Linked DNA regions of Mus musculus. The protein of the gene in region 1 interacts with the protein of each later gene in a pairwise test. Links are inferred from orthologs where the notes say so. Each region holds a gene or a part of one and is shown on either strand. Other genes may lie near its edges.

The links. The genes of interacting proteins can lie anywhere in the genome.
Region 2: the proteins of Sh3gl2 (region 1) and Egfl6 interact in a two-hybrid assay, tested with the Homo sapiens proteins (2 studies listed by BioGRID and IntAct). The link is inferred for Mus musculus from reciprocal best matches to the Homo sapiens genes SH3GL2 and EGFL6.

The regions. Positions count from the first base shown.
Region 1 is NC_000070.6:85,204,085-85,208,319, reverse strand, and holds the start of Sh3gl2 (endophilin-A1), read right to left. Parts: upstream 2,865-4,235; 5' UTR 2,744-2,864; coding exon 2,699-2,743; intron 1-2,698. UniProt on the Homo sapiens protein: Implicated in synaptic vesicle endocytosis. May recruit other proteins to membranes with high curvature. Required for BDNF-dependent dendrite outgrowth.
Region 2 is NC_000086.7:166,522,500-166,526,777, reverse strand, and holds the end of Egfl6 (epidermal growth factor-like protein 6 precursor), read left to right. Parts: intron 1-2,806; coding exon 2,807-2,917; 3' UTR 2,918-3,771; downstream 3,772-4,278.

The DNA.
Region 1 (4,235 bases):
TCAATTTGTCCTATGTTGCAATAAAAATTATTTACTTACAGAGTAACCATTGATGAAAGGGAGAGATATTAAGTTCTAATATGAGAACCATAGGGGCACACTCTAACTAGGAACCCTAACCCAACGGTACTGACACTAAAGGCATATTCTATTGATGAAATCCCACCCACCCCTCTGTGGAAGCTCAGCTCCACAGAAAGGCAAGATGTTGCCTTCTCTGACCAGCATGGCAGTCAGGGGCCTAACACTTCCTCTGCAGCAAAGATCAGATTCAGGAAACGACTGCAAAGCAGGACAGGACCATTTCCCTCAGAGCTCAGAGCAGGCAAACACCACCTCGCGTTACACACCCTCTAGAATAACACATCCATGCACAGGAGAGTAACCTTTGCCTTACGTTTTTAAAGACTAGGCTCCATTAAGCTATGAATGAGATTGTGTTTTGCTTCACCTTTAAAACAAAAAGGCTTTTCAGCAAAGGAAGAGAATGGCAGTGAACAGTGACCCAGTATCTGGGTTCGGAGTGGTAAGGAGCAGGTCCGTCCCTAGTAGAACTCCTCCACACCTGGAGACGGGGCTTCCCCGATGACGTTCCAGTTCTTTCCTGCTTCCAGAGCTGCACACAACCTCAGGATGAGCTGAATGGAGTCAGATGGTTACTGTGTGTGTTATCGAAGCCCCGGCTGGGTTCTCAAGTCTCGTTATTACCAGTGGAAAGGAATGGTACCTAACGCTAAAGGAATTATCCTTAACATTAACAATTACCACTTATTAAGCATTTTCTATATATGCTCTACAAATTCATTTATCCTTACTTTTCCCCTGAGAAATTTTGTCTCATTTTTGGCAAGGACGGATTCAGAAAACTAGCTTGCTCAATTTCCTAGGTAGCAGAAGAGGGATTCAAATCTTAGCCTTTCCCTCCCCAAAGCCAAGGCTCCTAAAGGAATGTTGGTAGAATCAGTCTTTTGGTCTAGATTAGAAATGAGACAAGTACCTAAATAAATAAATAAATAAATAAATAAATAAATAAATAAATAAGGTGGGTGACATCAGGGCAGTCCTATGCCATTCACTGGTAGCACAGATTGGTTCTGTGAAACTGGAAAGTTGCCAGAATCAAGTGAATAATATACTTGGCTCTACCTTTCCAATAGGGAGATCACAGACAATTCTAGTGAGAAAACCAAATATATATGTAGTTAGAAGCACTTCCTAAAATGACTGTTTCCTGTCTCCCTAAATTAGTTCCCAACAGAACTCATTTGATGATGCTAAGTCTATGGTGACAGAGATGATGCTCAGGGGTGAATGTCATCCTGCACCTTAATTTAAGCAAACTTGAGGAATGCAGTCTTCACCTTTTCCCTATGCCTTTTGCAATAGTACTGAGGCTGTGAACTCGGTAATGAGACTCATGTATAGCAGAGGAGGACTGCCTGGTCTGGCCTCAGTGGAAGAAGATGTGCGAGAGACTTGAGATTCCTGGGAGTGGGAAGACCTGGTGTGCGTGACATCCTCTTGGAGACAGGAGGGAGAAATGGGATGAGGAACTGTGGGAGGGGGGACCCAGAGGGAAGGGAGTGGCTGGATTGTAAAAAAAGATAAAAGTAATGTTTTTAAAAAACAAGAAATTACAGAAGCCACACAATTAAGGTTAGCTTAGGATAAGGATCTTTAAAGCTAAATGGTTACGCAAAAAGTATTTTACGGTTTATCAATAAAGTCGTTTCTTGTTAAATATATCTTAAAATTTAACCTGTTCCAAATGAATAAAAGGGTTGTAACTCCACACATTATGTAAGAAATGGGTCACATCGTAAGTATTTTTGGACATTTTCTCTTTGTAAAATCACTGAGTTGGGCCCAATGAGATTTAAATTATGTGGGTCTGGATTAAATTTTAATCTCAGCTTACCCCACACAGAAAATTTGGCACATCTAGTAAACAGTGATTTTCAAGTTTTTAACAACTGCCTCCGCAGTAAAACCCGTGGGAGAACTTTAAAGACTTGCAGACCACTGATCAAACCATGGCCTCAAATAAGCTTCACCAAGGAGTTCTCCAGGGAAAAAAGTTAATGCATGCATGCTCCTTAGGGGAACCACATTCTCCCATGCTGGGAGCCTGGGGAGGCCTGGGAAGGAGGGGTTCTGAGAAGGCCTGGGAGCGCAAAGCCTGGAGCAAGCGCAGAGCGCGGGCACCTCCGCAGCCTCCAGAGCGAACCTCGCTCCAGCCAGCACATCCCAGGACAGTGGGGCACACCACACCGCAAGGTCACCGCACCGAGGCGACTTTACATAATCTCCCGCCGCGCCGCCAAGCACCTGCGCGGCACCCTCCGTGCAGAGCCTGAGAGCTGCCGTGCAGGGACTAACTGCCTGGGAACCCGGTGGGCGGCGAACCGAGACAGCGGGGACAGAGAGCAGAGATGCCAGGGGAAGGGAACTGAGGTCTGAGTGCTAGAGTGGCAGGGACCACAGGGACTCGGAGTGGGAAGAGGAAGCAGGGATGCAGCGGCCAGGGAGGAGACTCGCGGAGCGAGCACCGATCGGAGACAGGGAGCCGGGTTATGGAGCCAGGCTGCCGCGCAGCGCCCCGCGGGGACCAGATCAGAACAGGGAGGGGTTGCAGGGGAGGACGCCGTCTGTCTGTCGGTCTGCGGGGCGGCCCATGGCGCACCTGCACGCGCCCTACCTGAGTGGCTTTGTGGAACTGCTTCTTCAGCCCTGCCACCGACATGATGGGATGCGGGAGGCTGCGCGGCCGGCAGATGCAGATGCAGATGCGGAGAGGCGGCTGGGGTCGCCGGGCCGCCGCTGGTCGTGCGACCGCGGGAGCTGCTGGCGCGGGGGCGCGGCGCGGGACGCGGGCTTGTGCGGAGAGACACCCTGACGTCAGGGCGGGTGATGCGGCCTCTTAAAGGGGACGCGGGAAGCCCCGCCCAGGGCGCAAGCCGAGGCAGGTGAGCGCGAGGAACCCCCGCACTGTGCGGGGGCGAAAGTCCCTCCACGGTCCGAAGCCTGGGCTGTCTTCAGCTGTGGGAGTCGTTCGTTCGTGGCCCTGGCAAAGGGATCACCGCCTTTGGGCAGTCTAGACTCAGGTGACCCAGCTCCCAGGTAGCCGCAGTGGTGCTGCCTGCGCACTGCCCTTGCCCTTTGAGCCTGGCCTCCCTGTGGTTGAAAAGCAGGGTGGCGGCTTATCTGGATCATGAATAAGTTATTGCTCATTTCATGCCCTGCCTTCCCGCATGATTGGCCACCGAAAACATTTCTCTGCCTCGATTTTAATATCCCTTAAGCTTGTTTCACCTTAGGGAAATCTATCAACTTTTTTTTTCCTGTTCTAGTACAACTTAACTACTTAAGATGAAGAGAGGTCCCTACAGTTTGACTGGGATACTGGAATGGAATTGATATGAGCTATAGCATATATTGATATGAGTAATAACATTTAATCTTCTATTTTCAAAAGAAAAAAAAAACGAATGCGAACTTGGCATTCACACAATTATCATGGACATTTTTTTCTTTCTTTTTTTTTTTCGTTCTAACATTTTTATATAATGAGGAAAGGAAAGGCAGTAAGTTATACAAACACCACATAGGGACAAAGGGTGGATGGGACTGGGTGAAGGGCCCAGAGCAGCACCAGAAATCTGTGCTCTTATGAGCAGCCACTTCAAGTTTGTCTTGTATGGAAGAGCTTGTGGGAGAGTCTCAGATGCAGGCCACACCTGCATGTGTGGATCAAAGTGATGAGCCGCCAAGAGGAGAGTAATTACGGAGAATGTGGAAAGAATCAACAGGACCTGGATTGGGTTCCTAGAAATACAGTTCCCCTCCCGCCCCCCCCCCCTCTACTGCCTGGTGTAAAGGAAGCCAGTAGACTTCTGCAGCTTGAGTAAAGATGAACGGAAGAGCAGGTGCAAGGGGATTCTAGACACGGGCTGGGTACCACTCACCCTTGCTACTGTGAATCACAGCACAACAGAATATCGGAGCAGTGAGCAGTGAGCATACCCTTCCAGTCTGCAAAGCAAAGCAAAAGGAAGGAAGGGGTCTGTAGTCTTGTGGTCCTTGCTGCTGCCCAGACCTTCCAATCTGTGGTACTTTCTAATTTCTAAACTACCGTGGAGGCATTGGGATAAACATTGGTTAGAGGATTTAGGCAGGAGGGACATGCTAATTCTTAATAATTCACCTTTTGGTATCAGGGCCACAGGGTTCGCTTC
Region 2 (4,278 bases), on another chromosome or scaffold:
CCTGGGCAGATCTTAATTTTCCTAGCAACCACATAAGGCAAGACTCACAACATATTACACACCAGCAAAGTTTGCCCAGATCTTGGTATTCAAAGGTCTGTGTGTGTGTGTGTGTGTGTGTGTGTGTGTGTGTGTGTGTGTGTGTGTGATATGTGTGTGTGTGTCTGTTTGTTAATGTGAAGGCCATGGTTAGGGGCTGAGCCACCTCAGCTATTGTTACTCAGACCTATCCACTTTATTTCCCTAGACAGGCCTTAAACTTGCCAAGTATGGCAGACAAGCTGACAAGCAAGTCTAAGGGATCCACCTTCCTCTGTTTCCTCAGCACTGGAATTACAAGTGCATATCGCTATGCAGAGCTTTTTGACATGTATTCTGGGGATTAAACTCAGGTCCATCTGTTTACAAAGCGAGCACTTTATCACTGAGCTATCTCTCCAAGCCCTCAAAGCTATCCCTATGGGTCTATCTGCCCACATCATTGCCAGCATGGCTGACCTTAGTTATTTGGTCTCCAGCATTCCCAAAGGCTATACTGATATCATGCAACCCAAGGCCCCTATCGTAAATAACATTCTGAACATAGACCATCTGACTTGGCTAAAGGTTACAGGAATATGAAAACACTCTGGACTAAGTAGTTTCAAGGGCTTGGAGGCTGACTCTTAGTAAGCAGTCAAGGGCAAAGCCTTCTTTCAAATGTTGAGCTTTCGGACAACTCAGACCTACTGAGTTAATCTTTTACTGTAGAAATGAGTTTGATAAAGGAAAAGGAAACTCTTTTAAGAGGAAGTTGGTTAATGAATTTGATAAAGAACAAATAGAATAAAATGATGTAGAGTTTGCTGAGTTTGGAGCACCTTGACAAGAGCTGTTTCCTGAAAGAGAAGGGCCAGTAATCACATAATAGAAGAACAAAGAGGGGGCCTGGGTTGCTCAGTTGGTAGAGGAATTGGCTCACATGCACAAAACCCTGGGCTCAGTCCCAGCACTGCATAAACCATGCATGGTGGGGCATGCCAGTAATTATAGTGCTCAGAGATAGACACAGGAGGATAGACAGGGCAAGAGCATCCTTGGATATATAATGGACATCTGTTCTCATATGAACACACACACAGACACACACAGACACACACATCACACACACATACACAGACATACATACACCACACAGAGATACAGACACAGAGACACACACAGACATACACACACACACACATATACACAGACATGCACACACATAGACATGCATACACAGACACACAGAGAGACACAGAAATATACAACACACACACACAGAGACACATACACACACACACATACACACACACACAGGCACAGGCAAACAGACACAGACACACACTCACACACAGAGACTCATACACACAGACACAGACATACACAAAGACACAAATACCACACACACACAGAGACTCATACACAGGGCAAGAGCATCCTTGGATATATAATGGACATCTGTTCTCATATGAACACACACACAGACACACACAGACCCACACAGACCCACACATCACACACACATACACAAACATACATACACCACACAGAGACACACACAGACACACATATACACATACACAGACATGCACACACATAGACATGCATACACAGACACACAGAGAGACACAGAAACATACACCACACACACAGAGAGACACATACACACACACACAGGCACACAGACACACACTCACACACAGAGACTCATACACACAGACACATATACACAGACATACACAAAGACACACATACCACACACACACAGAGACTCATACACACAGACACAGACACACACAGAGATACACATACCACACACACACAGACACACACAGAGAGACACATATACACGCAGACACACACACTCATACACAGACACACACAAAAACACAAATACACCACACACCACCTACACACAGAGAGACTCATACACGCAGACACACACACAGATATACATACTACACACACACAGGCACAGACACACACACACATACACAGAGACTCATACACACACACACACACACCCCACACACATACACAGACACAGACACACACACAGACACATACACCACACACACACATATACAGACACACACAGAGAGACACATATACACACACATATACACAAACACACACACAGAGACACATAAACACACAGAGACACATACCACACACAGAGAAAGACACATACATGCACGCAAATACACAGATGCACATACACACACGTACACACATATTCAGACACACACACACAAGACACATACACACACAGACACACTCATACACAGACACACACACCACTCACACACAGACACACACAGAGAAACTCATACACACACAGACAGAGATATACACACAGACACACACACACACACACACCACACACACATACAGAGACACACATACACAGACACACAGAAACACACACACACGTGTGCGCATGCACTTAAAGAAATAAAATTTAAAAGTAAACAATAAAAGATCTTTCATTGATTTTGCTTCATTTCTTTACATGGCAATTCCAAAAGTTCCCTCTTCAGAATTACAGGACTTTTGAGAATCCTTCAGAGCTTGCTGTGAGCCTATCTTCACTGAACAGAATCCTCACCATGAGAACTTAGCATGTAGGAAACACGTTGGCATACAATCAATATGATTATATGTAATCATATGAAAGGCAATTTCTATACAGTAGAAAGTCAACTTTAGTCCTTGCTAACAGCAGTTCAATAGTTTGCTAACATCATGGCTGGGAAGTAACCTTCTTTTCTCTCTCTGTTCTTAGGTCATTTTTGAAGCAGAGCGTGGCAAAGGCAAAACTGGAGAGATTGCAGTGGATGGAGTCTTGCTGGTGTCAGGCTTGTGTCCCGATGACTTTTTATCTGTAGAAGGTTGACTGTCACTGTCCTCCTTTGTAGCTTCATATGTGGCTTTTAAAATGTCATTTCTCTAGGGTATCTTTTTATATCACAGCCTAGGACTCTTCCATCTTATAATTACAAGCTGACAGTGTACAATGTTCCAACAGAAATATTATCATAACATGCCTTTTTTGTATCAAATGTACTAAGACTTGCCTATATATAGTGCCACTGTGCCTTCTCATTTGTTTCTGAATTTTCCACATTTTATTACAAAATGTAGAAATGCTAGCCCATCTCCCCCTGCCCTATACATTTGCTCTTCCTATATAAGTTGGTGAACTTTCCTATATAACAACATAGAATAACAACAACAGAAAATGATAAGTACAGATAAATGGTTAATTGTTGGGGCTGGGAAAATGGCCCAGTGGTTAAAAGTATTCATTCCTCTCGAGGACCCAGGATCAATTTCCAGCATCCACATGGCAGCTCACAACCATCTGGAACTCCAGTTCCAGAGAATCCAATGCCCTTCTGGCCTTTGTGGAAACTTTCATATGTATGGTATACATGCATACACTACACTACACTACACTACACACACACACACACACACACACACACACACACACACACACATACACACACAGAGTAAATCAATTTCTTAAATTGTTTAACTTTCACGGTACTTCTTGGAAACAATGACATTAAACATAGATTTGTGCCTTTGTGGCTCAGCCTGCTCTTTCATAGTCAAGCTTGCTCATTTAATTTTTTTATAATCATATCCAGTAAACGGCCTTGTGTCATAGTAAGATAAAATGGTATCTTACTGACTCTGTTTACTTATGTGTACAATTCTGGAAAATAAATTTTTTTATTCTATCCACTGTTGAAACACTTTGTCATCTTAAAAATTCTTGAAAATTGATTCAAATGGGCTTGGACGCTTCATGTGGTGGAATGCTTGCTTGGCATGCATGAACTGCTGGCTCACGGACCTGATAAATTGGGAATGATGGTGCCTGCATGAAATCCCAGCAGATTTGAAGGTTAAGGTCATCCTTGAGTACACAGTATGTTTGAGTCTAACCTGAGCTACATGAGACTTTGTCCAAACACACACACACACACACACACACACACACACACACACACACACAACACAGAGAGAGAGAGAGAGAGAGAGGTATCAAATCTCTTCCAGAAGGAAGATACTATGTATATTCACCAAGGCTGTTCACTATACACATAGCCCTGAAAAAATAGTACAGGCAAATCTGTCAATGCCTTTGTGCAAAGAGCACAAGGCACTCATATGGATTCACCAGCTACCATCAGCCTCCTGGCTCTCTGGAATCTAGTAGATGAGTACGACAGCCAGAAAGGTCAG